Arabidopsis thaliana: one gene and its partners. The protein of the gene in region 3 interacts with the protein of the main gene of each other region in a pairwise test. Each region holds a gene or a part of one and is shown on either strand. Other genes may lie near its edges. The genes, in order: WRKY40, TOR1 and AT1G53800.

Region 1 (9,665 bases), about 10 Mb from region 3:
ACTGATGCTACACTTTCATGGATAATGCAGTTACCTTTTCTCGGGTTATCGGTAGTCTACAGAATTGTCGAAGCAAGTACTATTAAGTTTATATTTACCCTTTATGCCAAAGCCAATGATGATGCATCTGCTGCAAAGAACCAACTGGAAATATAGGGCACATTTGTAATAAATAAAAACTAATGGAAACAAATGTAATAAACAGAACTTTAAGGAGCGATTGCAATAAACAAATCTATAGGAAATATCTGTAATAAACACAAAATATCGGGAATATATGTAATTATTCTTTTTTGGGAAAAATATGTCATTATTCAAAACTATGTGAAATCTACGTAAATACACAAAATGTGGGGACTCGAGTACGAAAGAAGAAGTTTTGTTTATGGTGTAATTAAATCTCTTGTCTTGGCATGGTTTTGATAGAAGACAAAACATTCCTAATCTGTCTAGTAATCATTAAGCAATAAGCAAGCAACTAATTTTTAGTTTGGCTTTGTCGGGTTAAGAGTTAAGAAGACCCATAGTTTTGAAACTTGAAACAGTCCTTACTGGCTAATTAGATTTTAACCCGGGGTTTTTCCGGGTCGGGTAAACCAAACGATGACGTGTCAAACTGTGACTGGCTAACTACAACAACTCTTCCTTGGTACTCTTCTCTTTACTCGCTCCGGATTCCTATCGTTCTCGATCGGAAAAGTCGTCTCTTTATTTTTGTTTTTTGGGTTCGCCGAAGTAAAAAAAAAAGAATAAGGATTTTCTCATTAAATTTCCAAAGATTAGTCTTTTGTATGTATCTTCACTTTCTTATGAATGTGTAAACCTTACTCATTCCCGTGATCCTACTTTGGGATTTCGCTAGAAGAAGTTTAGGTGACGACCTTAATTTAAGTTTGTAAATGCAGGTCCTTTCTTTCTAGGGTTTATCGAAATTGGTGTAAATCTTTTGGAATTGGTTTGAGATTTTTTCTTTTGGGGAATTGCAATTCATTAGTCGTCGTGATCCAGTGTGTTTTTAAGTGAAGTAAGGCATTTTCGATATTCGGAGACTTTTAGGTCAATGTCGGCTCCACCGCGAGTTCGGTCTGTGGATTCATCCGACCGAGAATTCAGATCAGTTCTTGGTCCCGCCGGCAATAAGCTGCAGCAGAAACCGTTGTCAAAGCCGGTGAAGAAGCCTGTGGCTGAGAAAACCAAAAACCTAACCTTTACGGAGAAAATGCCGCAATGCTCGCCTCTAAGCCCTCCAATTCTGAGACGTAATGGTATTTCGATGACTGCTTCGTATTCTTCAGATGCGTCGTCTTCTTGCGAGTCGTCGCCGTTAAGTATGACGTCTACTTCGAGTGGAAAGAGGGTTTTGCGGCGAAGTGGGTCAGTTTCTTCTTCCTCTTCACTGAGAAGAAATCTGACGGAGGAGAGAGATGAGAAGGCTAGTGATTGCTTCTGTGACGGTCGTAAAAGATGCGCTTGGATCACCCCTAAATCTGGTAATACAATCTCTCTTGATTCATCCATTTCATTTTTTGTTGGAATACAATTGTTCCCACTTATCAGTTACTCTGATGTAGTAGCATAGACTAGTGATGCTTGGCTTTACCGGTGAATTGTCAATGTCCATAAAGAAGTTGAATAGTTTAAAAGATTTGTATTCTCTTGCTTTGGAAGTTAGTTTGTGAATGTAGAGAGCAAATCTTGACTATGTTTTGTGATCAGGCAGATCATATCTCTATTGAACAATGACCACAGAAACAGGAATTTGTAGAGATTAGTTTTTGTCATTTCTCTACGCCGATGAGGCTAAGGCCTTAACTTCCAAAGGCTTGAATCTTTTCATCTGCTATGACTAACCGGTACTTTTTTTCTTTCTTTTTTTTTGTTTCTTGTAAAAGATCAATGTTACATTGCCTTCCATGATGAAGAATGGGGAGTTCCTGTCCATGATGACAAGTACGTGATATTTTCTCTTTATACTGACTTATGTTTTACTGACCAGAGGGATGCTTTTTTGGACTATACACTCTCTTATTCAGTGAATTGTTTGCAGGAGACTTTTCGAGTTATTAAGCTTGTCTGGTGCTCTTGCTGAACTATCTTGGAAAGACATTCTTTCCAAAAGACAACTATTCAGGTAACTAGTACCAACGCTGTTGTGGTTACATCTTCTGACTTCTCCTTATGAGCTCGAATCTCGAAATGCTTTTGCCTTGTGTTAAACAGGGAGGTTTTCATGGACTTTGATCCAATTGCAATATCTGAATTAACAAATAAAAAGATAACATCCCCTGAGATTGCTGCCACCACGTTACTATCAGAGCAAAAGCTACGGTCAATCCTCGAGAATGCTAACCAAGTTTGCAAGGTAATATATCACCTATAAGCCTGATCATAGTTTCTGTGTTTCTTAACAACATTACCTTTTTTTTTCTTACTGTTATTGGTTTTCTCAAATGCAGATAATAGGTGCATTTGGATCATTTGACAAGTACATTTGGAACTTCGTTAACCAGAAACCTACTCAGAGCCAATTCCGGTACCCACGTCAAGTCCCTGTGAAGACTTCGAAAGCCGAGTTGATAAGCAAAGATCTTGTACGCAGAGGTTTTCGCAGTGTAAGTCCAACGGTTATTTACTCGTTCATGCAAACAGCTGGTCTCACAAACGACCATCTCACTTGCTGCTTCAGACACCATGACTGCATGACAAAGGACGAGACTGGTAATTAAAGAAAAACCAAGAGAGAATAGTTTTAACTCTGTGCTGCTTAGGATGCTGTTGTGCTGTGTTTGCATTTGTACAGATATTTTTGTTGTTGTTGTCAAACTAGGAGGAGTTTCTAAAGCCGAATGTATTGGAGATTGTATGAAAAACGATTACATGTTACATTTTCAGTATCACAATGGATTATAATCTACTCTCTTTCTCTTACTCATGACAAATTCAAATCTAAAAACTCTAACGGAATTTGAAGCTAAACTATTTCTCGGTATGATTCTGTTGATACAATTTTCCGGTAACAGCTGCTGCTAAAGCTGCTGTAAAGTTAGGATCTTTGGTTAAGGAAGAAGCCATTTGCTCCACCAAAAGTTTCTGAACTTGGGGAAAATCGATTCTTGACGTTGGGCTCGTCACTTTCTTCGATTCAATCATATCTACGGTAGTCACCGGCACAGTCAAGCTACTTCTTCTGTTTGCTGCAACGGGTGTTGAAGCTGAACCACCATGAGAGATGTGGCGGTTTAAGCCATTGTTTGAATCGATCTGCGATGGCATTGGATGGTTGTGTTCACCCTCATAAGTTGCAACTAACACGGACTGATCCTCCACACTTCTCTGAACCTGAATAGAAACAAACACAGGATCAAAATCAGATTAATAAGTCTATCAAATTTGTATTATGCCAATTCATATTTTAAGCGAGAGTCAGTTTTTTTTCTTTATCAATTACCTTCTTTTTGACAGAACAGCTTGGAGCACAAGCACATTTGAAGTAAGCTCTTGGAGATGGATTGTCTCTAGTCACTTTCTGTCCATATTTCCTCCATTGATACCCATCTTTCACAACCTATAAGAAACAACTTCTACAATCAGTAAACCATATAAAATAAAGTTTCTAAAGATAGATAGATACCAAGTTTGATCATTTTCATGAATGCTTACGAGGGTAGTGTCAGAAGCTTCGGTCTTGTAATAGACCCTTGAGACTTTCTCCTTCACGACAGTCTCTTCTCTCTGCTTCTTACACAAATACTCATCTTGATCCGTTGAGCTACTCTCCGACACTCCGCCAATAACCGCGCAGCTGAATGCGTCCTCTCTCGCCGGGGATTTGCGTTTCTTGGGAGGGCTGATTTGATCCCTCTCGGTTATGTTGCTCTTGTTAACATATTCCATAAGTTGCTTCCTCAAGACGTTGTAGTTGTCACACATCAAAGTTAGCATCTCCGAGAGCTTCTTGTTCTCAGCACTAACTCGGTTTAATTCTTCCACCAAAGCACTTGTCTGCAATTTATCATTTATATATATATATATATATATATATATATTGCATGAAGTTAGTAACCATATTATTTTCTTCATACTATAAGTTTAATATGATTTTATGATCTAGCGTTACATCTATATTTCAAGAACCCACCACATGAATTACTAACGAATTTTTCTTGTTGTTAAAGTTTATGCCAATTATATATAAAAATATTTGTGAAGTATAAGAAAATATCTATGTTTATAGATTATACATCTGAAAAAAATGTCTATGGATAGTTGAGTTAGTTTATATATTTTCAAAACCAACCGAATTGAAAAATGTAAGTGTATAATACATAATGATGAGATACTAGATTAAAAAGCTCCATGATAATTGAAAATTTCTGAACATGTGGAGAATGAAGAATCTGAGAGAAGCGTACCGGTGGATCTTCTTCAACTCGCATACGAGTAACGCCAATAGTGAGATCTAATGAAGTATCGACCAAAGAGGATGAGTACTGATCCATGTAAATATATGTAGGATGAATCTTCGATATGGGTTCTTGTGGATGTATATGTGTGGAAGTTCCCGTAAGCTGAGGAAGAAAGTTGAGAGAGATTCGAAGTAAGAGTCGATCTTGGGTTCTTCTTTTTTAATGGTGGGATTGTTGAAGAGAGAAAAGATTTTGTTTCTATATATAATGGAGTTTTAAGAGGAAACTAGATGGAAAGAGGCAGAAGAGAGAGAGAGGAGCATGTGCTTTTCATTTTCATGCAATAAACTAAGTGATGGTCTTATCATTTTTTGTTTACTTTTTAGTCTTTAGACTCAACTCGGCTTCTATCGGGTCCACCCGCACACGTATTTGGTCCAATCTTTAGTCCCAATTTTGTTTAAGAAAAACATATTGGAAACATATGAAATGTATTCTTGATTTTAATTTTGGATAGTTGGTTGACATTCTTATTTTTTTTGTTAAACAAACATTTGGTGTGTGATTGGCCTACTAATAATATGACGCTCTCCACGTTTGTTTTTCATTTTGGATAGTTGGTTGACATTTCTGTCGGGTTAGTTGCTTTTATTTATTTTTCGTTATAGCATAGCCGGCCTAAACTCAAGGTTAATATTTTCAGAATATGTAGTTTTGTAATTCAAGACATCCATCAAGAACTCACCCAAAAAGAGTAAAAATAATCAAGAATTGTTAAACAAGCCTAATGTGTAATTAAATACATATGTTGTATATCATCTTAGATTTTTCAGACAATAATTATGTTGTTTAGATAACTTGATGCATGGAGTGACAAAAAAAAAGATAACTTGATGCATAAAGTCATAAAATCAGGACTACAAATGACATGTGGGATAAAAGAAATGGTTGATTACATGTATAATAATAATGAAATGTAGTAAAGGCGTGCTTAATTAGGAAGTTTAATACTTCTATTTGTGAATTAATTAGCACGTTTGACAAAAAAAATGACAACTAGTTGGTGATAGTAATAGACTAATAGTATATTAAGAGTGTGCGGAACGTGGTTTGCGTTCTAATGAGAGATTTCTTCAGTAGTACTAGATGTATACGTGTGCCTTGTTCGGTCAAAGTCAAGCCCACACGGCTTTTCAAAATCCACTAGACAAATTGACGATACCATCGTGACGATTTTTTTTTTTTTTCCTTTTTTCTTGACATCAATATCGTGACGAACTTTAACAAATCTTAATTGCCTTCTTCCTTCTTTTGGTTTTCAGAACACCAATTATGTTTACTTAAATAAAAAGAAGGAAAATCCGAACTTTTATCATTCCGCTGATTTTTCAGAATATAGTTAGATGTCCAATGCTAAAGTTTGCACAATTACAAACAAAATATTTTCTTATATATAACGAATTACCACTCGACTAATTTTTCCATTAAAAATTTAGATATCGAGTACCAAAGCTTGCAAAAATACAACCAACTACATCTATAAATATTACTTTATATTTGGTTTAAGTCGAGTTAATCAAGTGAGTGGTGCTAAACCATTTTCCTACATATATTACTATTACACTTAATTCGTGTTATGATAATTATTAGTAGCTGTTAAATTCTCACACTATATATTAAATAATAATTTTGTTACTTCGATTTTCTCAAACTAAAATCTATTTAGTTGTTTGTTTTTGGATCAGCATACGTATTTTCTTAAAAGTCATGCACAAATTTGGCTACCGAACTTTATCAAAATCTCAGTGTCCTTCCTTTTTTCCTTCCCCCCCCCCTCCCCACTTATTTTGCCGTTAACGATTCAAAAATGTCGCAATGTTATAGATTTGGGTTTGGAGATAACAGAACATATAGACGACAAACTTATCCATTTATCTGAAATAGTAACTTGACTTAACTATATGGAATCGCTTAATCCCATATGCCGATCATTTTGGACTTTCTCATGCATTACATCATCATATATTATTTCTTTCTTTCATATCTCATTTTACAGTCGAACCTATAAGTAATTTATATTTGATATTCGAATTTGGTTTAGCACAAACCAGGACTGTACCTATTCTTGTAATTGTGAATAATAAAATCTTAATTCAGATCTCATCATCTTTTTTCTTATTTTTCTCCATTATCCTTCACTCTTCTTTTCCTCGGTAGAGCTTTATTAATTATATTCATTTTTCTTGATCTCTATTCTTTCCGGTAGAAGTATGGATACTCACTCGTACCACGTATACAACTTACATTGCCGAAACCTTTCATTGTAAAAACGTATATAACTTACTACGATCTACTAGATGAGTAATACGGAAAACGCCATTTACTGTTTAACATATAACAACTTGAAAGTTTAAATAGATATATCTAATTAAGATATCTCAGGATTTTGGTCAGATAGTTTCTTTAAATCTGAAACCAATCGTTGATAGCATTTCAGAAGACGTAAATCATATTTCTCCATAACTAATAACACATGCAACGTAACACACACACAATTATTCAGTTTAATTTGTTTTTATAACTTTATTAATATCTAATTGTATGCAGAAGTATAGATGTAATCTATAAACCCTATAGCGAAAAGGTAATACATCATCATTAACAACATAAAATTATCATACAGCTAATTACAATCATATTAATTATATAAGATTAAGTTCCGCCGGTTTAAGCTTTAACAGTTATTGTAATCAGTCGTCGGTCCAAATTATATATATATATATATATATATATATATATATATATATATATATATATTTCCCTACTGACTAATATTATCATAGAAAAGTAAGGCTGCTAATAGTTCTTTTTTTTTTTGCCTTCCCTTTCCTTTTTTAAGAAACTGATTGAAATAGGTTGGTTCTTACAACACTCAACGAACAATTTGGTCACAAACCAATTGTTAATTAATAGATTGCAAAAGACAAAAACTCATAACCTAAACTTATGTATAATCAACGATTTAGTTCATTTCGAATTATACTTAAAAGTTAGCTGTCATATATTGTTGTGTCAAACACTATGCATGTTGGGAATGGACGTCCAGAGAAAAAAAAGAAGAACGAAGAGACTGGCTGCCGACCAAAAAATATAATCGAAATTGTAGAGACAATAAAAAGAAAAGAAATGGGCAGTCGGTGATGGAATTATTAGACGTCACAGGTGATGAAGTCATAAAAAAAAAAAAATATATACAAAGTGGACAGAAAAATCAACAAAAGCAAAAACAAAACTATTCTCCTCCAAAGGACAGAAAGAACGTAAGAAAGCAAGTAACGAAAGCACAATTCCTTTCCTGTATTTTAAAGACTTTGACCTCTTTGACCGTTGACCTCGTTGACTCGGGAAAATCCTAACACACAACGCACGAGTGGTTTGGTTTTACTTCCCCATTCCCTCCCCTAGCTACTTCGTGCCTGTCTTCTTCAGGTCTTGAATTATCTCTTCTTTTTTTTTTTTTAATAAAAGCTTACTAATATTTCTTTCCAAGTCTTATTTTTTTCCTCAATATCCTCATCCAATTTACATTTTTAAGGTATAATAAGCTCGAGAAAACAAAAGGTATAATATCCGTACATTTTATAAGACTTGAGTTTAAACGGAATATTTTAGTGACAGAACTAATTCACACTCGAACTTTCGGGTATACATTTGTTTAATTTTGGATGCATTTTTGCAAAGTCTTGACTTTCTCTAATTAACTAAGCATATTAATTTGACATATTTTTACATAATGTTTCATTCGTTTTAAAATAACTAATAACTGTCGTTTACTTTTTTTTCAATTTGTGTAAAAGTAACACAACAATACTATTCGGGGAGAATTAATCATATTTTTTTATGTTGGTTAGTTAAGCAGTAGGTGTCTACTAGAGGATGCATTGAACTTAGTTAAAGGAACAAAAAAGGCCGTACGATTCATGAACTAGTAAAAGTCTAAAACATGTGTTGTCTATTAAATATTAATTATTATATAATTTCTTGCCTCTTTTTCGAAATGGTCTTTTGGATTTCGTTTTCAATGTCCATGTCCACTTAATTTTTATGACCAAGTGTGAAAATCAAAGACTAATCCCAAATTTTAGATTCCATTCTTGCGAATTGTTTTACTTTTCTCCTACTCCTAATTTAGTAGTTAGTACTTCGTTTTTACATTGGTTGTTGAAAAAGGCTGCATAATAGTTATACACAATTTTGCTCTATTTATAGTTGTGATAGAGTATTGAAATACCATATACATTTCCTTTTGCAAAAACAAAATCTATAGAAACTTCATTGTGTATTAACATAAAACAGAAGTGGAACTCAATTGCATATGGGGACATAAATCTAATGAAAGACTCTTCAACTAATATACGTTGCCATCAAAATGTACTCATATGTGTTCAAATACTATTATTATACTCTTAGCCATCAGAGTAACAGTGCGTATCCGTGAATTACACGTTTTCTTTGACATCTATTTTGTAGAATAATATTTTTATTCCGATGGTTTCGATTTGGCTTTACGTTTTTTTTTTGTCACTTGTCTGTTTTGTTTTGTTGAAATAGTTTTGTTTTCTTTATGGTAGTCTACTACTAGTCTTGCTAGATGGCCGACCAAAACAAAAAGGACTGTCCAAGAATTATTCGCCTGATGAATTCATTAGATAACTCAGCGCACGAACGTGTATCTAATAAAATATTACACGTAGTTTCATACTACTATTCCTATCAATTTTTTTTCCTTCCACATGATGTAATTGAAGTCTAAACTTTGACGAATATATTACTTCCACGTGCTTGGAGACTGAACTTACATGAAAGAAAAGAAAATTGTATGATCCCATTGCGTTGTTATAGCATGGTCCCTTGGATCTAAACCTACAAATAATTGCATATGAATGGTAAAAAATCCAAACATGTAAGTATATTCTTTCGGCCAGTTGTCTTCCCCGATCAAAATTATGAACATGTATTTCATTTTTACCCTTTAGCCTTAGGCTTGCACACTTGAAAAAAGTAGCATATATTCACACGTGAAACTCCTATCCTTTACAATTATTGTATCTCTATACACGTCTCGCAAAACTGTGATAAGATTATCAACTATTTCATATTCAGTAGTTAAGAAGAAAAAAACATATGACTAACAAACGAAATTGTTTTTTCTTTTTGTTATCTAGTTCTCTTGGTTTCCAACTAAATAATACAGGTGAT
Region 2 (11,619 bases), on a different chromosome or scaffold from region 3:
TCTTCTTCTGCAAAAGAATTAGAAAAAAATTTCTTCAAAACCAACTCAGTTTTAAATTCCAAGTAAGTGTCGAGTATTATTTTTAACTTTTTACCTCTTACGTCAGAGTCAGAATGTCTCAAGGGAAACTCCTTAGACAGCAGTTATCAACAAACTTGAAGCCTTTGTCTGTCTTTTCATCACTTGTCGTCTTGCACTAATCAACTAAATCTCGAAAACGTCACCAACTCAAGAAAATTGAGAATGTTTAAAAAAAAACAGTAATTGACATGTTTAGGAATCTCACCTTAAAAAATCAGAGATCCGGGCAGAATCAAAAGGAATAAGCTCAAACTTGGTTACCCAGGCCAGCAATGAGAGCAAGAGATTGACATAAAAACACACCCGACAACAACAAAAAATAACAATTGGTTTAAAATCGATCTAGAGTCTGCTCCAAGAAATCTTACCGAATTGAAGAAAGAGAAGGATGTCGATGATGAAGAGGAATAAAGTTTCACTCAATTTATCAATTCTTCCGGTGGGATGTTGTTGTTGTTCACAAAGAAAGAACCAGAGTAAAAAGCTTAAGGTATAATTTTTTTTTTTTTGTAGTAAGAGACGACGGCGGAGAACCGTAAGCTTTTATAAACAAGTTTGGGCTTCCTTTAGGCCCAACAATGCCCAAATTTCAAGTATTTGGATTCGCCCGGAAAAGGGTTCGTGTGTCATTGTGGAAAGCAAACGACCTCGTTTTGTAAGCAATAGAACCGCAGATTCTCTTCTTCTTTCTTCCTCGACAAGTTTCGGCTCTCTGAGTATCTCAGAGCTTTCGTCGTCTCCTGCAATACCTCTCAGATACCTCTCAGGTCGAGCTTTCGTCGTCTCCTACAATACCTCTCAGATTCCGGCGATTCTTTCTTCAATCTCATTTCCACTACCAAATCTGAACATCAACCGGACGGTCGGAATCAATGAAACTGTGTTAGTGTTCTTAATTTGTTCCTTGTTGCAGTTTCTTAGTGACTTCTATTTTTTTCCATGTGATCGTTACTTGTAAATCAGAAAAGAGAGAAAAGAAAGAAAAGAAAAAACCCTTTAAGTTATTGTTTTCGCCAAAGCATATATAAATGGGATTATGATATTTTTGGATTTTACCGTGTCAGCACCATTAAGTCATCTTGTAAGTAGAAATGAATCTGACTCTCAAGAAATAGTCAACAAATGGACCAAAAATGAGAAGCGAAATGGCTTGGATGCGATCGACTGTTCCCAGAGAGTAGATTTTATCAGAAACTCTTGAAGATCATCATCAATAAATAAATTTGTCAAGCACTAAGACATCTTATCTGTACCCACTTTTGTAATGTTTGGAACCTCTCTGTTTCTAAATAAAAAGAACATTTTGTGAAAAGAAAAAAAAACATCTTATCTCACTGATATTTATTAACAATAAATAACTAACACTATTATATATCGATGTTTGACAAGTTATGAACAATACTCAAAGCAACACGACAACTTATCTAATGAGAGAGTACTCAACACTAAAAGCTTAACGTATAGAACCCCAAAGATTCATTGAAAGGATAGAGTCATTGCCAACAGATTACCACTTATCTTGAAAAAGTTTGAGACTTGTAGAGAATCAGATTGCACAAAATCAGCGATCGAGAAATAAAAGAACGGAAGAATATTGAATTTGATATAAAAAGCTTACGATCTGCTAAGGCATCTGTGATGGTTGTGGTTGTAGGAGAGTTGGGATTTGTAGCTGATGTTAAGGTTAATGCCAAAGGTTTCATTTGTGCTTGCACTGCCAAGGTTAAACAAAAGGCTAATTTGGTTGGTGAATGTTCCAACGTGTGGATCTAACCTTTCAGATAGAACACCTCCATAATAAAAGTAAAAGGTAAATTTTCAGAGCAAAAACAAGAAAATGATTCGAGTTAAGCAAAGCTGAGTTTTACCAAGGAAAGGAATCCACAGCAACAACAAAAATTGATTAGCGAGTTTCTTGCGCTTGTGTGTGTTACAAGTAAGCCTTTGTTGTGGTTTGTCAACTGCTCAGGCCTGCATAAAGCCGAAACGAGATTAGATTGTATAAATTTCAAACATCAAGGACTAGGATAAGAATGATGTTATAGATTTTTTTAAGATGTATTCTTCTTACACGTTGGGCTGAGTAGGCTCCATGATTACACTTCCAATCTTGGCATCAAGCCTTGAGCTATGTGGACACATATACAACCAAATACGTGGGAACTTACCCCATGTCAAACCTTTGGTGAATTTTGCAATAGGTTTCAAAGATAAATAGGCGGGGAGTTGAAAATATAACATCCTCAACTCGGCATGCCAAGAGAATGGATCATTCATCATTCACAATGACCTACATCATGTTAAAATGTCAGAGTGTTGATTGTGCAGTGTTGTTCTGCACCAGCAAAAAATAGCTATACAAATATGAGATGAGTTACCTCTTCACACCCTTTCATCAAAGTCATAATCGCCAAACACACGCCAGGGACTCGATAATTGGATCTTTTTAGTAGTAGGACTCTTGTAGAATGACCTTGATGAAAACTTTTAAATGAGGTCTACTTTTTTTCTTGACAATGAAAGCAGTTGCCAACTATGGAGCACTAGTTTGAGTAACAATAAAAGAAAGATAAAAAATTCTTCAACTAGTGACTACTAATCACTAGTTTCTGACTCATCTATGAGACTAAACCGTTGTTTATCACAACCTCTGTAATTTCATCATTTCTATTATTTATTTCACAAACGGGTTGGAGTTTAAAAATTTGTTTTTGCCAAAGTCATATATTCAAAAAGTTGATTTGGTCGCATTAAGAGTCAAACAGAACAAATACACACCCATGTGGGAGTATAGATAAGCTCTGAATCACCCTGTTTCCCTCGAGGTTTTGAGATTACACTGGCAATGAGGGAATATATGGCATGAAAAACTTCATATGTATCAATCCTTATCAAATGGGATTTCTTTTTTTTTCCAGTACAATGAAGTCTCACCCATTGTAGGGTAATTATTTTTGGGAGGGTCTTTACAGAAAAACGTCCAGCTCCTACATGCTTCGTCAACGAGAGGTTGCTGGTGGAATTCTGGTCCGAGCTCCCATGGGAGAACAGAGAATATAGTTTCAGGAGTTGTTGGAATTCCTACACCTGTTCCACCCCTTTGTTCAGTGTAGGAAGGCGATACATAAACTAATGCATAATAAGTATATGAATAAGCTTTATAATAGATCGAATTGTTGGGAAAAAAACCTAACTTATTTATACAATACTGAAATCATGGTCGAATTAATAAAATCTTTTAATATATTATACAGTTTTTAAGGAAAATATTTCATTTAGATAAAGCTTTGATATACACAAATGACATTTTTTTTTTCTATATACACCAATGACATATAAAACTATTGAATGTATCAATTGGCGTGGATGGTATTTGGCTATTTGCCTTAGAGTAGTGTGTATAAGATAAGAAAATGCGTATTTATATATATGAATGTATTGGCATCTCACAAAATTACATATCTAGATGATTGAACTCAAAACCAAGTAAGATTATTTATATACACACTATTATTTTTAGGTAATTTCTTGATTTTTTTCTCATGCAAATTGTGTACATTCAAAAACTATTTGTAATTGTTTCTGTTTTCTATGTCGAGAATTCCAATTTGACAAAAATAAAAACATTAAAATTTACATGGATCAATGATTACCAAAAAAAAAAAGTTAAATGGATAATTGTCTCAAACTCGTATCATATTATAAATTAATTAATTTTGTCTGGCCAAAACAAAAACAAAAAACTTTATTTTAAAAGTCTGTTATAAAATTAGGGATTTATTAATGATATTCTTAAAATAATTTCTGTCTTATTTATTTGTTCTTCAAAGTTCCGGCTTTTTCAATTAAGCAAAAGGAAGAATGACAAAATATTGTAAAACTCAAATACATAGCAATATTTGATCAATTCCAGTCATCTTTTACGGGTTTTTAATAAGAAAAATCAAACTCTAGACTCTAGAGTCTAGATGTTGAATCCTGTCTGTACGAAAATTATGAACAACAACGGTACTGAAGTTAAAGCTCCGTTCACAAGCTCATGTTTACTTGTCGAACTGTTGGAGATCGATTTCCCAAACTGATGCCAACTGCACCACGAGCTGTTCCGGCGCAGGACCTTCCCAGTCTTCAGGTGGATCCATAGTCGAACATGCGTCTTGTAAGTTGTACAAGATCTCTGTCTTCAGTTCCATTGGAACTCCAAACGTGTCTGCACCGTCTTGTAAAACCAATTCCAACAGCTGCAAATGGAATGGCAAAAAGAGAGAAAGAGAGGTTAAAGACAAAACATATGTGTGATTCTTGGAACCCAGTAATGTACTGTAAGAGATGTACCTGTTGACTCCAAGATAAGCAAATGTCGTAGAGACTATGATCCAGCAGAAACTGAGAGATGAAGTTTAGAGCTTCATTGGCAATCTCATTCGACATCTGGTCAAGAGAAGGTCCCGTCTTGTCCATCAGCTTGATGACCAAGTGCTGGTCACCAGCACAGAGGACTTCTGCGTAAGCAGCATCAATGTCACCAACACGGAGTGAGTGCATTGCATTACTCCATGAAACCCATATCGGGTCACGTTCCTGCCCTTCGTTATCATCATCTCCCATGGCTTCAGCTTCAGGGGCAACAGCCACTCGGGTTGGACGAGGGACTGCACCATCCTCGCCGGCTACTCTAATAGCTTCAAGTGTAGCTTCATCCTTTGATGCTTGCCACACACTTCTTGCTGAAGGGCCTTCACCAAATCTAATAGTTCCAGATGCTTTATTATCCCACCCTCTCCTGCCATTACCCATGTGCTCATTCTCATATTGTTCTGACCGAGGTGATCTTCTTGGCCCGGCTTGTCCGTTTCTGGAAGCAGCATGTGGAGGTATGAACCAGTCATCTGCCATGTCAGAATTCCACATTCTCCCCCTCATAGCTCCATCTGTTTGTGAGCCTCTTTCCCCTGGAGCTCGACCATTATACTTTCCAGTTGGATAGTTAGCAAAACTATTATATTTGCCAAACCCAGCTGTGAGATTAGCCCTACGACCTGATGATATCGAAAGATCTCTTGCCATGTCTTCAACAATCCTTTCTAAACCCCTTACTCTGCCCTCCAAGGTCACCATACTGTCATGTGAGCCACCAATAAACTCTTGGAGCATGTTCATAAGATTTGTTTGTTGTCTCTCTAGCTGCAACAACTGCCTCTGGATGGCTGACCAATTTCCTCTATTACTTGTGAAGGATCCTTCAGATTGGTTATCAGTATTGGAGACAGGAGCGTGATGTCCAGGTGTCTCTTTTCCGTTTACAACACCAGCCTTATCATCACCAGATGTCCTTGCTTGTGATCCGTTCCCATCAAACCTACCTTTTACCTGTTTATCATCTGCTTGGGTGTTCTTGAGGCGATTTGAAGATCCCATGGCATTGAGATCATCGAGTCCTGATTCTTCCTCATCATTGTTTTTACATCTACGAGGAACTACTACTTCCACGGATTGCCTTCTTTCTAGTCTTTGGAAAAACTCAGGATTAAAATCTTTATCACTTAAGACAGGTGCTTTCTTCTTCAACAGTCCTACTGCTTTTTCAGGAAAACATCCTTTTCCTTTAGAAGCAGAGTCTGGTGAGAGAGTGGAACCATCGGATGCCTCCTTTTTCATTAGATCAGCTAGATTAGACCTTTTCTCCCCGTTCTTCTCTGATCCAAGCTGCTCACTAGCTGAAAGCTTTGAATCATCTGAAGCACCATCGACATATTTTCCAGAAATCTTCTTCCATAACTGCAGCGCCTCTGTCACACTTTCCCTAACAGGTTTGATCTGTCCAAGAAAATTCCATCAGTAAAGTGTCTTGAGAAGATCATTCCATGTCCTAAGTAATAGAATTTTGATGAATGTGTAGAGAGCCATAATCCATTTCATAAAACATCCAGCCATTTCAATGCTCAGTAGTGAAAGAAAAATTATAGATGACTGAAAATTCTTGAGATATGTAAATCATATAGTAGTCAAAAATCAAAAGGTAAGGCTTCGTGAGAATTTCAAGCTACTTGCTTGTGCGTTTCATCAGCATAGCAAATGAGGAGAAAGGTCCAAAAGCACTATCAACCACTAACAGATATGTCTGAGCTGCTGATGACATTTACAAGGAATTGAAGAGCTTATGGGGTTTACGTTTACTTCACTACAGGACCACTTTAGATTACTAGAAAAATGTAGCTACCTTGTAAAAAATGACGTGTCTCAAACACGATAATAGTGGAATTAGATTAATTAGAGAAAGAAAAGATAGCTACCTTGTCAAACCGGCAGGTCTCAAGCACGGTAATGGTGGAATCGGTTTTTTCCTTAATTAAACCGCTTGAATGTGATGCCAATGCAGTCAGGGTCTCAGCCGCAGCTTTTCGTGTTACCCAATCTGTACTTCCAAGGCAATCATGGATGCTTTCTAGCAATGACTCCAAGCTCTGAGGTGCAATGGCTCCCACCTGAATCAAAGTAATTGCTCTTTACTTCTCTTTTTCATAAACAGATTTAACCACTAAACCTACTAGCATTGAACTACCAGAAGTAAAGAGAGAGAGAGATATTAAACCCCTCAAAATTTCACTGAGACTTGTATGCTCAAATCAAACAATAAACTTCAGCAACACCTAACAGAAAAAGTGTCGGATTAAGACTAAAACCTCAAGCAGTGTTATTTACTAAAACTTTGTGTTCTACTTACTGACACTGATATTCAAAATTCACCATATTCTTCCATTTGCTGTCTATAGCATGACAAGGAGGAGATTATAAGGATTCTGGGCAAACCTGAGAGAGACTTGAAACAACTGGCAAAAGGGAAGCCTTAGCAAGGAAACTGGAATTGCTCAATAGCTTGCAAATTCTAGGGCAAAGCTTTTGGAAAGAAGTAACTGGAGGACTAGCAGCTGATTCAACCATCCTAGCCATACACATTGAAGCTCCAGATTGTACCACTTTGTTCTGCTCTCCCATTGCCTCAAACAATGGCTTAACGAACAAACCCACCGCTAACGACGCTGAACCAGTATTAGTCCCCTCTTCTTTTCCCTTGAGATAAATCCCAGACAAAGCACCAATCGTATCTCTACAAGCATCCCTAACTCCAGAATCAGAATCCTTCAACCGTTTAACTATCTGAGCGATGATTTTAGTGAGATGCGCAGCCGTCGAATCGCAATGGAGACTACAAACGTAGGAGAGAAGATGGAGACACTCCTTCTTCACTGCAGGTTTCGGATCGGAGCACGAATCGTAGAGACAATTGAGAAACATCGGTAGGGTTTCGGGAGTGAGAGATTGAATAGTTTTCTCGAGATCCTCGACGGCGATCTGGTATGTATCTCGATCGGCGAGCTTAGAGATTGAGGTAAGGATCTTTTGCTTCAGCTCCACCATTGCTTGGAACGAAGTGAGGGAACCGGAATTGGAACATGACCTAGTTGCTAAACTCGACGACCGTGCTGGTCTCGTCGGTTTCGCCGCCGAACCGGAAGTTGTAGGTGTGCTCATTTCTAAATCTCCGACGAGAGATTAGATTAATCGGAGAAGAAGATAGACGAGTTGGAGAAGAAAGACGAGATCTGACACTCGAAAGTGTAACAGTTAAGACTGGAATCAGAAATGTGTCGCTCAATTTTATTAGTATTTCACTTTTTCAATTTTTTCAAATTTTAATATTGCATAATTTTCAGTATCTGGATTTTGCATTTGTCGCGGAAAATCGGGTGTGAAAGACAAAGTATGAAAATATAGTTTAAATTCGTGATACTTCGTTTAAATTAATAATCAATAATACGAGTTCTAGTGTAATATATAAACATCCATGCAAATAAGTTCGGACATTATCAAATTTAGAGACATCACGTTCTACATTATGGATTGTTAATTTTTATTTCAAAATTTAAGTTAAAAAAAATAAAAATAAAGAATCTAATTATTCAAAATGTCAAATTGGTTTCTTGTACAAAAACATGGCTTGATATATGGATTAAGGAATTTTTTACATGGTACTATAAGTCAATAATGAATGGTTCAAGGAATTTTACATGGTACACTAACGAATGCTTTAAGGAATTGTGATTGCTATTAGTTGTTTAGGTTGTCGTTAAGATTGTTACGTTACGTACACTTTGTTGGAGTTAGAGTCGAGCAATGCACATTGGAGAGGCTTCCGAGTGAGTCCGCATGCATATACCATTCATTTTTTAGCTTCAACGACTCAAAGGCCTTCGTCTGGTGTTTAATGCACGTGTGTAAATCATAAATGGATCAGAGGCTGGTGGTTCATCGGACCAACAAGGTCTGCCTAAATGACAAGTTAAGACGGTAAAATCGATAAGAGACAAACCTTACCGATTTGATATTTATTTTTTTTGGTTCGAATATGTAATCGATTAGTGTCATTTTGACTATTTGCATGTTGGTCATTAAAAGATCAACCACATTTTATTATTTTAAGTACAAAATAAAAAATACAAGAAACTTAATAAAGTTTTGGAAAACGTTTAAAAATCATGAAATTAAACTAAAACTATATAGTTAGTTCATTTGTATTAATTTAACCATAAGTACATGTCTTTGTAATCCTTTTATTTATCAACTCCACCAAAAACAAAACGAGTAGTAGTACGTCGTTCATTAGCACTATTAGAAGCCTTTGAATCATATTAGCAAAAACTGCTATACGTCATTTTGTCCAAAGAGGACGTTTACCAAAAGAAAATAGATAACACTAAAATTAGGCATGTGATAAACACTCCAACCCCCAAAATGTACACCGCCCTATTCTCACCAACCTCTTCTGACTCTTCTCTCATTTTCTGTTGTTCACAAATAAGTTAACGTGGTACCGAACTACCGATTTCCTCCACTATTTTATTGAATTTCTGGTCAAAAAACTTAAGTGTTACATAACGAATCTATAAAAAGAACCCTCACTTTCAAGGTTTTTGTCAGCAAAACATTTGTCTTCGTGTTTGAAAGCTAGATAAAAGATTCACTAAATGGCCACCGCAAGCACCGCTGCTACTTTCAGACCCTCCTCCGTTTCAGCTTCTTCCGAATTAACCCATCTGAGATCACCCTCCAAACTCCCCAAATTTACGCCTCTGCCATCGGCTCGCTCACGGTCCTCTTCTTCGTTCTCCGTCTCCTGCACCATCGCTAAGGACCCAGCTGTTGTCATGGCGGACTCGGAGAAGATTAAGGCCGCTGGATCTGATCCGACTATGTGGCAACGACCTGATTCATTCGGTCGTTTCGGGAAGTTTGGCGGCAAGTACGTCCCCGAAACTCTAATGCACGCCCTCTCTGAACTCGAAACGGCTTTCTATTCGCTCGCCACCGACGAAGATTTCCAGGTATGCCTGCTGATTTTGTTTCCATCTTGTTCATAGTTTTTGAATCGATTCGAAATGATTTGGCTTTGTGAGTTTCTGATTCAAGCGTTGTCATTGCCATGGCTAGTGATAAAGTTTAAAAAACGGATTTTTTTGTTCCAATTCTAAAAAATAATCTGCCAAACAATGTTAAGCCGTATGGGACAAATCGATTTGTTTGCGATGTAGGATGTAATTCTGGGAAAGTGTTGTATTTTTCCAGAAATCTGGAAACGACATTCATTTCATATTCTTAGTTTCTTCAGCATTACATGCTTCTGTGTGATGTAAGTTAGAAGTCTTTTTGGTTAGTTCGTTTGTTGGGCAATGTCTAACTAATGTTTGATGAATCTGTAGAGAGAATTAGCAGAGATCTTGAAAGACTACGTTGGTCGGGAAAGTCCTCTTTACTTTGCAGAGAGGCTCACGGAGCATTACCGCCGTGAAAACGGTGAAGGGCCGCTCATATACCTCAAAAGGGAAGACTTGAACCACACCGGTGCTCACAAGATCAACAACGCTGTGGCTCAGGCTCTTCTCGCCAAGCGTCTAGGAAAGAAACGAATTATTGCTGAGACAGGGGCTGGTCAACATGGTGTAGCCACAGCTACTGTGTGTGCACGTTTCGGTTTGCAGTGCATTATCTACATGGGTGCTCAAGACATGGAGAGACAAGCTCTTAATGTGTTCAGAATGCGTCTTCTCGGTGCTGAGGTGATGTGAATTCTCTGCGTAAACCTTGCAAAATCGCAATGCTTTCAAATTGTTATCTAAGTCTGATGCTTGTAGGTAAGGGGAGTCCACTCTGGAACAGCCACTTTAAAGGACGCAACTTCTGAAGCTATAAGGGATTGGGTGACCAATGTGGAGACTACACATTACATATTGGGATCCGTTGCGGGTCCTCATCCTTATCCTATGATGGTCAGAGACTTTCACGCGGTGATTGGTAAAGAAACAAGGAAACAAGCGATGGAGAAATGGGGCGGGAAGCCTGATGTTCTGGTTGCTTGTGTCGGTGGTGGTTCAAATGCTATGGGACTCTTCCATGAATTTGTCGATGACACAGAGGTTCGAATGATTGGTGTGGAAGCCGCTGGATTTGGATTGGACAGCGGCAAACATGCTGCCACATTGACAAAAGGAGATGTCGGTGTACTCCACGGAGCTATGAGTTACTTGCTGCAAGATGATGATGGCCAAATCATTGAACCACACTCCATCAGTGCCGGGTAAGAGATTCTTCTCTGTTCAAAGTTGGTTTTAAGCCACATGTATCTGGTCACCTGTATCTAAAGAGTAAAAGTTGATGTTATCAGATTGGACTACCCTGGAGTCGGACCTGAGCATAGTTTCCTTAAAGACGTGGGAAGGGCTGAATACTTTAGCGTTACTGATGAAGAAGCATTAGAAGGTACTTACTTGACACTTCATTTTTCTCCTTTTAGATGTTTCTTTCACAACTCATGAGAACTTGCATTGTGTATTCTAATCTATGCGTGTAGCTTTCAAGAGAGTGTCTCGGTTGGAGGGAATAATCCCGGCATTGGAGACATCGCACGCATTGGCCCATCTGGAGAAGCTTTGTCCGACGTTACCTGATGGAGCCAGAGTGGTATTAAACTTCAGTGGGAGAGGCGACAAGGATGTTCAGACTGCAATCAAGTATCTCGAAGTTTAAAGAGTGTAGATTACTTTCATTTTCACACAGTGCTATTTCTTTTATGTAGTTTGTTAGTTCTCCTTGCTTATGGTCGGGAATCCAAAAGTTTGGATCAAAGGGTTAAGAAGAGAATAAGTGTTATGAATGTATCATATAAATAAAAATGTTCTATGGAACGTTTGATGTTCTTATAAGCAATTCGAACTGTTTTGTTCTTGACTTAGCTGGTTTTCCCTTTCATATCTTAATTTCACCAATGCTTAGAAAAAACAACTCTGATCGAATGATTTATAAACAACTCTGCTCTTTAATGGTGATCATTGTAAATTCAAACTTGTGTATTGTTTGTACTAATTTGTTCTGATAGAAACTATTTTGGGTTAAATGGGAAACGGGTCAAAGCATAGGGGGCTAGTGTTGTAATTTAGTAGATTGGGGAGGAGTTTCAAATCTGAACGCTGAAGATAAATCACA
Region 3 (10,404 bases):
ACCTGAAAAAGAGGCATATTATATACACATAAAAAAAAAGAATAGGCATATCATTAATAATTGGTGCTTACAGTGTATTTCCCATCAAGACAGTCTAGATCATCACAAAGTGTGATATAAAACTGAAAAGAAAACAGACAAATCAGATGAAGACATGCAATACCACAAAAGTTGATCCACGGACCCACAAAGAACTTGGTAATTCAAGCAAAACGTTTTGACTAACCTGGGAAGCATTGAGATTTTCTCCAAAACTAGCCATGGCAACGGTGCCAGTATTTGAATGTTTCAATTCGGCATGAATCTCATCGCTGAAAACCTAGCATTGTCATCTCCCAAAAGTCTGGAAATTCAACATAGGGAAATATAAAGCAGTAGCAGCACAACTAGGCAACACAGAGTATAAAGAATGACCAAAATAGATAAGCAGTCTACATATCATCAGAAGGTAAGAAAACGTCATCTTACTAGTATATTGAGTCTCCACCCGTTCCTGTGCCTGTTGGATCACCCGTTTTTGCTATGAAATCCTTTACAGTGTGGATAAGGCACTGATGGTAGTACTTTATCCTGACAAAACAAGTAAGTTAAAACCCTTAAAGATAGAGATGTTTCTTAGGTATAGGCAAAAGGAACACTTACTTGCACAGCTTAAGAAAATTATAGCAGGTGCTAGGGCATTAATCCGTGTAGAGATCAAGAAACACAATCCCTAAATCCGTGTCAATTAGAACTGACATGTTTATTAATTTCTCGAACCTGAAACCAAAAACTGAACGGTGGAAGGCAATTGAAAAGTTAGACTACTGGATAAACTGATCTTTACAATCCAAATCGAATATCCAAACACAAGTGTATCTCCAACAATCAATTACTCAGTTTAATCCCTAAATTATCTCATTTCCACTGATTTCCTTTGGGAATTCTCCAGAAAAGCTATCAAATTTCTCATCTAAGCATCAAAGGAACGATATAGCCAACCCTTTGCAAAGTTGCGGTTACAAGAAACATCAACCTGACCAAGATTCGCGAGCAATGTCGTCTTACTATCGTAATTGAATCAGAGTAGGATAAGAAGAGATGATCAATGAGATATAGGAACTAACCTCAGAAACAGATAGCGAGAGAAGAAAGGTTCACGGCGGCGATCTTGGAGTAGTCGGACTCTGTTGCGACTGAGAGATTCTCGAGCAATGTCTTCGTACTATGGTAATTGGAACGAGTAGTAGAAGAAGTGATGGTCGATGAGATTTACGAGCTAACCTCAGAACCAGAGAGCGAGAGAAGAAAGGTGCACGACGGCGATCTTGGAGTAACCGGAAACTGTTGCGACTGAGAGAGATTCTTCTGTTACGCTTTTAGCTCTTCTTTACGCGCCTTAGGCCTCTAAATAATCCCTTATAAAAAATCATTCAAAATGCTATAACATGCGTGCTGTTTTCAGATAGAAGAGATAATAAAACTACGTGATGTTTTCAATTCATAAGTACAACCCGGTTTAGAGATGGTTTGTTGATGAGATTTAAACCGGAAATAAAACCGATATTCTCTCAACGAGGCTATCCCTTATTCGACGGTTGCGAGCACAGCCACCGCCAACAACCCGAGACCGGAGCCACCAATCCCGCAAGCCGGAGGAACCGTATCTTACCGCAGGACCTAACCCCATCACATGAACCGCCGTCGCTGAAACTCCCGAAAAGAGAAAGCGAGCACGAAATACCTCCGACGATAGCCGTCATCACCCCTCAGCTGCGGGATCCGCCGCTCGATTTCCGTCACAGGGATGATCGGAGCCGCAAACCCATACGCACGATTGACCTCGAGCCACCATCATCTATCAGCTCGGAATCAATAGAAGTGGCGACCGTGAGCCACCGTGAAACCCTAGCCAACTCCGCTTCGAGCCGGAGAAGAAACTCGGGGAGCTACGTCGATCTCCTCTAGTCATTTCTAAACTGCGATGAAGCAGGTGAGAGCCGCCGCCGCCACCTTCTACATCCTCCGACGATCGGGGAGGTGAGGAAACAAAAATCAAACTGACTTACGAACCAATGTAAATGATTATTATTGGGCCTTTTTGGGCCCATATGTTTTGTCTTACATAAAGTATAAGGTTGTTTTTACATAAAGTAGCTTAATGACTGTTATTACATAAGATGTTTCTTGTTGGCGTGGCCAAAGTCGAAACGAAGACAAGTATTCCTAAACAATTTAAAATACAAGAGAATTGAAAATGAAAAGCAGACTAGTATGACCAACAAAGGAATAAAATTATCCAATTAACCAAGTTAAAATGATGAACAATTTCCAATTACAATCCTTGGATTTGCCTAGGAATATTTTCAGAGTGGAGACAAAGCCTATCGAAGATCTTTAGCGTGGTGGAGGTAGAACTGTTTGTTGTGGTCGCTTCTGTGAAAGGATAAAATCTGCCCATCTATTCAGTTGTGGAATTGTCTGTGAAACTGCTAGCCATGAAAAGCTGCATAAATAATTTACAAGTCGTAAATGTTAAGTACTTAAGTTGATCCTTTGTAACTAATAAGAAAGTTACCTTGCTAGCTTCAGTGGCAGACTCGACTTAAAATAGCCTCCCTTGAGGAGAAAATGTGTTGAATCCTCTGTCATAGTCAGTCCTTGGAACAAAAGAATGTAAGATAGACACTTATCAACTGAAAGAATAAACTAGACCAAGTATTAAAACAATAGTTGAACACTTACATAAGTTTAAAATTCTCAACATAGCCTAGAGAGGTGTAAACTCTCGTACGTTTGAACATTTCAACATCTTGTATTTGAACTCTTGTGAGACTCTTGCTCTCAAGGTTGAAGTAATAAATGTAAAATGCGTATATTAGACAGTACTGTGACAACACAACTTCACCTCCATCAGTCATTCCAACAATGGCTAACTCCGTATGCTGAACTAAGTTGTTCCACAAAGGAGGCAATGCATAGATACATTTGGTCCATATATTTTTCTCAGCATTTACTAGAACCCAGAACCTAAGACGTTTTGGAGACAAACATGTAAACTGAAGTGCACCTAGTTTACCCTTGTAGTTGATTAGAGTACAAGAGTCATTCATCAACATGAATACATGTATGTTGATAAAGCTAAACTTTTCAGACCTCACATCAAAGCACACTACCATAGAAACCCTTGCCCGCATATCGAACCCAGCTGTATAATACAAAATACCATCTATGCATATTCCATCAGATTTAGGATAATGGGGTTTGCATTGGATTGTTCTCCATAAATGGTTTCCATTCTCCAATGTCAAAACTTGATGCTCATCACACGTATTTGGGATATCATCAGACTTGATGCACAATACCTTTAGCTGTTTGCGGACCGGATCATATCCTAAATAAGGTCTTGTCTCAGTATTAATACTCTTCAGTTCCACTTTGGGTAAGGATACGGACTCTCCCGTGACTGGGTTACAAATTACCATAGTATCTAGATTTCTCTTACCTCGGCGACAGATGAATCCACAAAGAGGAGAACCAATTTCAGAAAAAGAATCTGTGGTATGTTGAACATGATAACGGGTGGGTACAAGAGACGTATTCTCGTTACATGGAATCTGAGGGTGAGGTGAAGAGAAGAAGAACAAATTGCCATCATCATCTTGGAAGGTGAAAAGAAGCAACGGTGGACGAATCGAAGACATAGTCATGAACAACTCCTTGAAATCAGGACGACAAAGTATGGATTCCCAGAGTTTGGATACGCAACGAAACCTAGCTATAGACTTTGCAGGAACTCTCGAAAAGATATCCATGAGGAGATCGATCGGGATATATCTAAAACAGGAAACATAACCCACCTGGAGAGGTTGCCCCTCTTGCATCATTTGCTTACTGAGAGGAGCTAAACCAGTATCAGACTCCTTGATACCTGCAAGTTACCCGTATATGCAATTTAATCATTCGGTAAATAGAAGTCACTAATGAAAGTAACACCACTATCTCAGTGTGCACAAACCACATAGATCGTTGATCTTCTCGGTGAGTTCCTTAATTTCTTTCTCCACTTTCTTGATAGGTGCAGAGTAAGGCACTAACCCCTGCGAAGGATTGAGATTTTAACAAGGTCAGCAAAAAAACATATGGAGACGCAACATATCAAACCAAGTATAACTATGAACGTTTTTTTTTCACTTGGATGACTTATTCAAACAGTGAGGCAGAGTCACCCAAAGCTAGTTAGTCATATAAGCACAAAAATGATCTAAATAGGATCATAAAATAGCAATTAGCTCGAAATTACTCATGAGAAAACATCAAACTGGTTCGCAAAGAAACAAAATACAGCAAAATTTAGGGTTCTAAAAGGGTACACTTACATAAGTCTTGACGAGAGCGATATCATCTTCGTCAAGCGGATCGTCTACAATATCTCTCACCATTTTTTTTTTTTTTTTCGGATTTTGATCGGAGATTTGAGATGTGAGAAGAAGAAATCGAATTACACCAACAAGAGTACCAACTTTGTCCGAGTTATTAAGGTCTAGTAAGTAAGGGCCACGTTAGGTGCCTTGTTGGAGAGGCCAGAGAAAATAATACCACGTGTGAATTGGGCTATGAAACGCGGCCCATTAGCCCAATATGCAGTGATCCGGGTCGGGTCATTAGAGCGAGCCGGGTCTCGTTATCCATCGCCTCCCTGGTTGCTGCGTCAAAGCCAGACACAAGTATCTTCGTTGAAATTTGCTTTTTGTGTGGCTTATCCTTGTCTGTCAAATTCCTGCAAAAACTCTCGCCTCTCTCAGACAGTAAGAGGAACATATTTCCTTAATGTATTGTTCCGTATAATCTTACAAGACATCCTGGTTGGTGTTGCAGAGAAGAGTGTTTCAAAGTTTCTTCCTTTTTCGTTTTCCTGGTCTGAATGAGCTCCCAATGCCTTCTTTAGGTACCTTTTCTGGTAAAGTTTCCAGATATTTACCTCTTAATTTTCTGGGTTTGTGTTTGGTTACTGTTTAGAATTCTACTTCAGTATTGAGACTCTCTTTCTTCTCAATTTTGTTTCTTTTCTATTGGATTTCATCATTCTTGAGTATCAATTATTTGCATTTGCAATCTTGGTCTAAATGCGTATAAGAAAAGACTAGTGATTCGCACAGTATCTAGAGAATGTTTACTAGCTAATGGAGATGACTCTTTGGTTTAATCTTTGCAGATATTGCTACTATCCAACCTTCATTTCAAGCTCATCTTGTTCCATTGGGGGCTCAGAGTATTATCCATGCTAAAAGTCTACCTAATCCATGGAGACAGTCTTGTTTCTCCAAGAATTTGAAATTTTACACGGGTCATAGTCATGTCCGAAGAGGAAAAGTTCTTATTACTGCAGTGGCCACTCTTGAAACCAAGTATCCGGCTCAAAAAGAAAACGAACGGAGCTCTTCTTTGTCTTCTGCTTCTTCGAAATCCTCAAATGGAAGTGCTGATGATGGCGAAGAACAAGTGGATGACAGAGAAAAGTTGAGAAGGATGAGGATTTCTAAGGCAAATAGAGGGAACACTCCTTGGAACAAAGGCAGGAAGCATAGTCCAGGTGAGTAGTTTTTGCTTATTCGTATCTTCAGCAATCTATCTTCAGTTGCTTCTAATTGGAAACATTTCATAATCTTTTTTCTTTTGCGTTTATGCAGAGACCCTACAGAAGATTAGAGAAAGGACAAAGATTGCAATGCAAGACCCAAAGGTGATGTCATGTAAGAATGGTTCTATATGTTTGCTCTATGCATCAGAATTTTCAACCCCTCATAGAACCTTTGTGTCTTTGTCCTTGTGCAGATCAAGATGAAATTAGCGAATCTTGGGCACGCACAAAAGTCAGTACCGGTTTTTCGTTTGCTTTTAAACCTGTTGGAGCTTTTGGTTTTTGTTATCATAATACTATCTTCCCAAATTTGCATGATTTTTACAGCAAGGAGACACGGATGAAGATTGGAGAGGGAGTGCGGATGCGATGGGCAAGGAGGAAGGAGAGGAGAAAAGTGCAGGAGACATGTCATTTCGAGTGGCAAAACTTGTTAGCGGAGGCTGCTAAACAAGGATATACAGACGAAGAAGAGCTTCAGTGGGATTCTTACAACATCTTGGATCAACAGAATCAACTGGAATGGCTGGAAAGTGTTGAGCAGAGGAAAGCCATTAAAGGAGCTAAAAGTAACAGAAGAGCGCCAAAATCTCCTGAACAAAGAAGGAGAATTGCAGAAGCAATAGCTGCTAAATGGGCTGATCCAGTAAGTTGTCTAGTCACTTGATCAAATCAAACTTGTTTGATGTTTTGTTCTTGGTCATATTTAACTCAGTTTGCTTTCTCTTATCAGTCTTACCGTGAAAGAGTTTGCTCCGGCTTGGCAAAATATCACGGTATACCTGTTGGTGTCGAGAGGCGTCGTAGAAGACCAAGGAGCGATGCAGAACCTAGAAAGAAGACTCCTACAAAGAAAAGTACAAGGGATTCAGAGTTTGAACGTCAAAGCCAAGTTCAAGTGGTGAAAGTAAGGAAGCGCAAAACACCTGCGTATAAAGATCCTTTGGCAAGTTCAAAACTGGAAATGATCAAAAGCATCAGAGCAAAACGAGTGGCGGAAGAATCAAAGAAGATGGATGCTGTGGAACGAGCAAGGTCAGTACACTTAAAACAGAATTGTTAATATTTCTCTGTTTGCAACTGTGAGCAGAAGTTAACAAGAATTAACCTTTTCTCGCCTCAGGCTTTTGATCTCGGAAGCTGAGAAAGCTGCGAAAGTCCTCGAGATTGCTGCTTTGAAAAGCCCGGTTGCTCAAGCATCGTTGTTAGAGAGTAAAAAGCTCATAGCAGAAGCAACACAACTGATTAAATCTTTAGAGATGAGGCAGATAGCTTCAGATGAAGATGGGACTTACCCATTTCTTCTTTCACCTCAGCCTAATGACAGTGAATCTGAAACCAAAGATACAAACGATCAAGAACGACCAGGAGAGATTAATGGAACACACACATTGCAGATCAACGGAGAGAGTCTTCACATGAACATGAGATCTAACGATTTACCGACTTTCGTTATAGAAGGTACTACAAACCAGTTTGTTTCTGATATGGAATCCAACACATCCCAAGGAGGTAGAGAAGATATCAAACTCGGGATAGTTGGGCAACCAAACGGAACGAGAGTCCATCCACCAGCAGAGTCTAATGGAGCTATCAGTCTTGCTGAGAATCATCCTCTTCCAAATGGTTACCACGGGATTGACGAAAAGGCTGCATCTTTGGAATCAGGAAACGTAACGAAGAAGTGGGTTCGTGGAAGGCTCGTCGAAGTCACAGAAGCAGCCTAATGTCGTAGCAATTTAGCAGAGAAAAGTCATATTTTTCAATTAGTAATTCAAAATTTTGGCTTATATATTGGTCTTATCTCTTATGCTTGAGAGAAGCAGTTTCCAGTTTGTGATGTGCCAATTGTATCTATAACTCAATTGTATGTCAGAGTTTCAGCTTAGTAAACAATTCTTCATAGCTTTCCGATTATTAAAGAATTAACCAAAGAAATAAAGCAAAGAGAACTACCAATAAACCTCATCAAAAGATACCAGACCAAAAAAAAGAAGAAGACAAAGATCGACAAAGATCATGTGAGTTCTGTTTGGAAGAAGTAAACACTTAGATAAGCTTCACATCCTCTACATAGTTTGTAAAAGCCTGAATCCTACACCCACGAAAATTTCTAAAAAGTTGATCTTCAAGTTTTACAATGGTGATGATTTTGCTCTCGAGATTGTAGTACAAAATGAAGAAAGGATGACGACCTCCTATAAAGATTGGGTATAACACAAGTTCGCAACTACCAGTCATTCCGGCAGGACGTACATGACTGGGTTTCACGAGCCACGGATAAGATATTGCGTAGATATACTTTGACCCCATTTATTTTTCTTGGCATCCTCCAAAACCCACAACTCCAAAAGATTAGTGTTAATATTAAAACTACAAGCACCTAATTTACCCTTGTAGTCGATCAACGTTAAAGTGCAAGAATCTATCTTTACTGCTATGTCATCTTGATCAATGTTGGTAAAACTAAATTTCTCAGACCTAACATCAAAGCAAACGATGGTACCTTCCCCCTTATAGATCATTGCTGGATAATACAAAACACCATCGATGCATATCGCAGTATTTATCAGCACTAACAACAGAAACGACATCACTTCTGGTTTTGGATCTCTGAAGAAACTGCCATTGGGCCGTGAGCCCACCAAGAAATCTCCTTTGGGCCACGAAATGTCAAAGCCGAAGCCCATGTCGCAGCAACGGTCTTCTTCTCCAAATACAGACAAAACCAGAGCTGGCACCATGACGTCTTCGAGCTGTACGAACTCTGCTTCTCCCATAAAACTCAGCAATCGATTCTCAGCCCTTGATTCAAGCTGATGTTCATCTATCCGTTCAATCTTAGGGTTTCTTTATGTTTGTCCCTTTGTATAAATAGTAAGCTTAAGCATTGTAAAACATTTAAGCCGTAATGCAAATCAAAGCTTCAACTTTCGTTTCTATGTTTTGATTTTGCCTTCATGGTATCAGAGCTCATGGAAATAAGATCCATGGCGCCGTATACTGTCCCACCTCTCAATATTTCCAACTGTGTCACAGTCACACTCAATCAACAGAACTACATCCTTTGGAAGAGTCAGTTTGAGAGTTTCCTGTCAGGACAAGGGTTGCTCGGGTTTGTTACCGGCTCGATCTCTGCTCCGGCGCAGACTCGTTCTGTCACACACAACAATGTCACTTCTGAAGAGCCGAATCCGGAGTTCTATACTTGGCATCAAACGGATCAGGTTGTTAAATCTTGGCTCCTTGGTTCTTTTGCTGAAGACATTCTCAGTGTGGTGGTGAACTGCTTCACCTCTCATCAGGTATGGCTGACTCTTGCCAATCATTTTAACAGAGTCTCTTCATCTAGATTGTTTGAGCTGCAACGAAGATTACAAACTCTAGAAAAGAAAGATAACACAATGGAAGTTTTTCTTAAAGATCTGAAACACATTTGTGATCAGTTAGCCTCTGTTGGTAGTCCTGTTCCAGAGAAAATGAAAATCTTTTCTGCTTTGAATGGTCTTGGAAGAGAGTATGAGCCGATTAAAACAACCATTGAAAACTCTGTTGACTCCAATCCAAGTCTGTCTCTTGATGAGGTTGCTTCTAAGCTCAGGGGCTATGACGACCGTCTTCAAAGTTATGTGACTGAGCCTACTATCTCTCCTCATGTGGCTTTCAATGTTACTCACTCAGATTCTGGTTATTACCATAACAACAACAGAGGTAAAGGACGGTCAAACTCTGGGAGTGGCAAGAGTTCTTTCTCCACCAGAGGTCGTGGTTTTCATCAACAAATCTCCCCTACTTCTGGGTCTCAAGCTGGAAACTCAGGGTTAGTGTGTCAAATCTGTGGAAAAGCTGGTCACCATGCGTTGAAGTGTTGGCATAGGTTCGATAACAGCTATCAACATGAAGACTTACCTATGGCTCTTGCTACAATGCGCATCACGGATGTCACAGACCACCATGGACATGAATGGATTCCAGACTCAGCTGCTTCTGCTCACGTTACCAACAACCGTCATGTCCTGCAACAGTCTCAGCCTTACCACGGTTCTGACTCTATCATGGTTGCAGATGGTAACTTCTTGCCCATTACTCACACTGGTTCAGGTAGTATTGCTTCTTCTTCAGGTAAGATTCCTTTAAAAGAAGTGCTTGTTTGCCCAGATATTGTTAAATCTTTGCTATCTGTTTCTAAACTCACAAGTGACTACCCTTGCTCTGTTGAGTTTGATGCTGATAGTGTTCGTATAAATGATAAGGCAACCAAGAAGCTGCTGGTAATGGGAAGAAATCGTGATGGTCTCTACTCGTTGGAGGAACCTAAACTCCAAGTCCTCTACTCCACGCGTCAAAACTCTGCAAGTAGTGAAGTGTGGCATAGACGCCTTGGCCATGCAAATGCTGAAGTACTCCATCAACTTGCTAGCTCAAAGTCCATCATCATCATTAATAAAGTTGTGAAGACTGTGTGTGAAGCCTGTCATCTAGGCAAGAGCACTAGGCTTCCTTTTATGCTATCTACTTTTAATGCTTCTAGACCTCTTGAGAGGATCCATTGTGATTTGTGGGGTCCCTCTCCAACAAGTTCTGTTCAAGGATTCAGATACTATGTAGTGTTTATTGATCATTACTCTAGATTCACTTGGTTTTATCCCTTGAAATTAAAGTCTGACTTCTTCTCAACATTTGTCATGTTCCAAAAGTTGGTCGAAAATCAATTGGGACACAAAATCAAGATCTTTCAGTGTGATGGTGGTGGTGAGTTTATAAGCTCTCAGTTTCTGAAGCAT

Evidence for each region.
Region 1: the proteins of AT1G53800 (region 3) and WRKY40 interact in a two-hybrid assay, tested with the Arabidopsis thaliana proteins (one large-scale study listed by BioGRID).
Region 2: the proteins of AT1G53800 (region 3) and TOR1 interact in a two-hybrid assay, tested with the Arabidopsis thaliana proteins (one large-scale study listed by BioGRID).

What each region holds. Positions count from the first base shown.
Region 1 is NC_003070.9:30,378,668-30,388,332, reverse strand, and holds WRKY40 (WRKY DNA-binding protein 40), read right to left. Parts: upstream 4,773-9,665; 5' UTR 4,500-4,772; coding exon 4,413-4,499; intron 4,003-4,412; coding exon 3,661-4,002; intron 3,566-3,660; coding exon 3,449-3,565; intron 3,340-3,448; coding exon 2,977-3,339; 3' UTR 2,834-2,976; downstream 1-2,833. Other genes in the region: AT1G80850 (DNA glycosylase superfamily protein), read left to right, coding at 1,061-1,490, 1,893-1,950, 2,048-2,131, 2,221-2,362, 2,457-2,726. UniProt on the Arabidopsis thaliana protein: Transcription factor. Interacts specifically with the W box (5'-(T)TGAC[CT]-3'), a frequently occurring elicitor-responsive cis-acting element.
Region 2 is NC_003075.7:13,577,457-13,589,075, forward strand, and holds TOR1 (ARM repeat superfamily protein), read right to left. Parts: upstream 7,795-11,619; 5' UTR 7,615-7,794; coding exon 6,892-7,614; intron 6,567-6,891; coding exon 6,375-6,566; intron 5,899-6,374; coding exon 4,417-5,898; intron 4,323-4,416; coding exon 4,125-4,322; 3' UTR 3,830-4,124; downstream 1-3,829. Other genes in the region: TSB2 (tryptophan synthase beta-subunit 2), read left to right, coding at 9,108-9,464, 9,840-10,196, 10,272-10,714, 10,802-10,896, 10,988-11,163. UniProt on the Arabidopsis thaliana protein: Plant-specific microtubule-associated protein (MAP) that regulates the orientation of cortical microtubules and the direction of organ growth. Determines microtubule organization by modulating microtubule severing.
Region 3 is NC_003070.9:20,076,974-20,087,377, forward strand, and holds AT1G53800 (muscle M-line assembly protein), read left to right. Parts: upstream 1-4,670; 5' UTR 4,671-4,914; coding exon 4,915-4,939; intron 4,940-5,194; coding exon 5,195-5,572; intron 5,573-5,669; coding exon 5,670-5,722; exon of another isoform or gene 5,723-5,732; intron 5,733-5,814; coding exon 5,815-5,852; intron 5,853-5,947; coding exon 5,948-6,266; exon of another isoform or gene 6,267-6,282; intron 6,283-6,353; coding exon 6,354-6,655; intron 6,656-6,728; exon of another isoform or gene 6,729-6,743; coding exon 6,744-7,347; 3' UTR 7,348-7,578; downstream 7,579-10,404. Other genes in the region: AT1G53780 (26S proteasome regulatory complex ATPase), read right to left, coding at 1-2, 72-122, 227-319, 735-740; AT1G53790 (F-box and associated interaction domains-containing protein), read right to left, coding at 2,585-2,639, 2,725-3,910, 3,998-4,079, 4,359-4,421.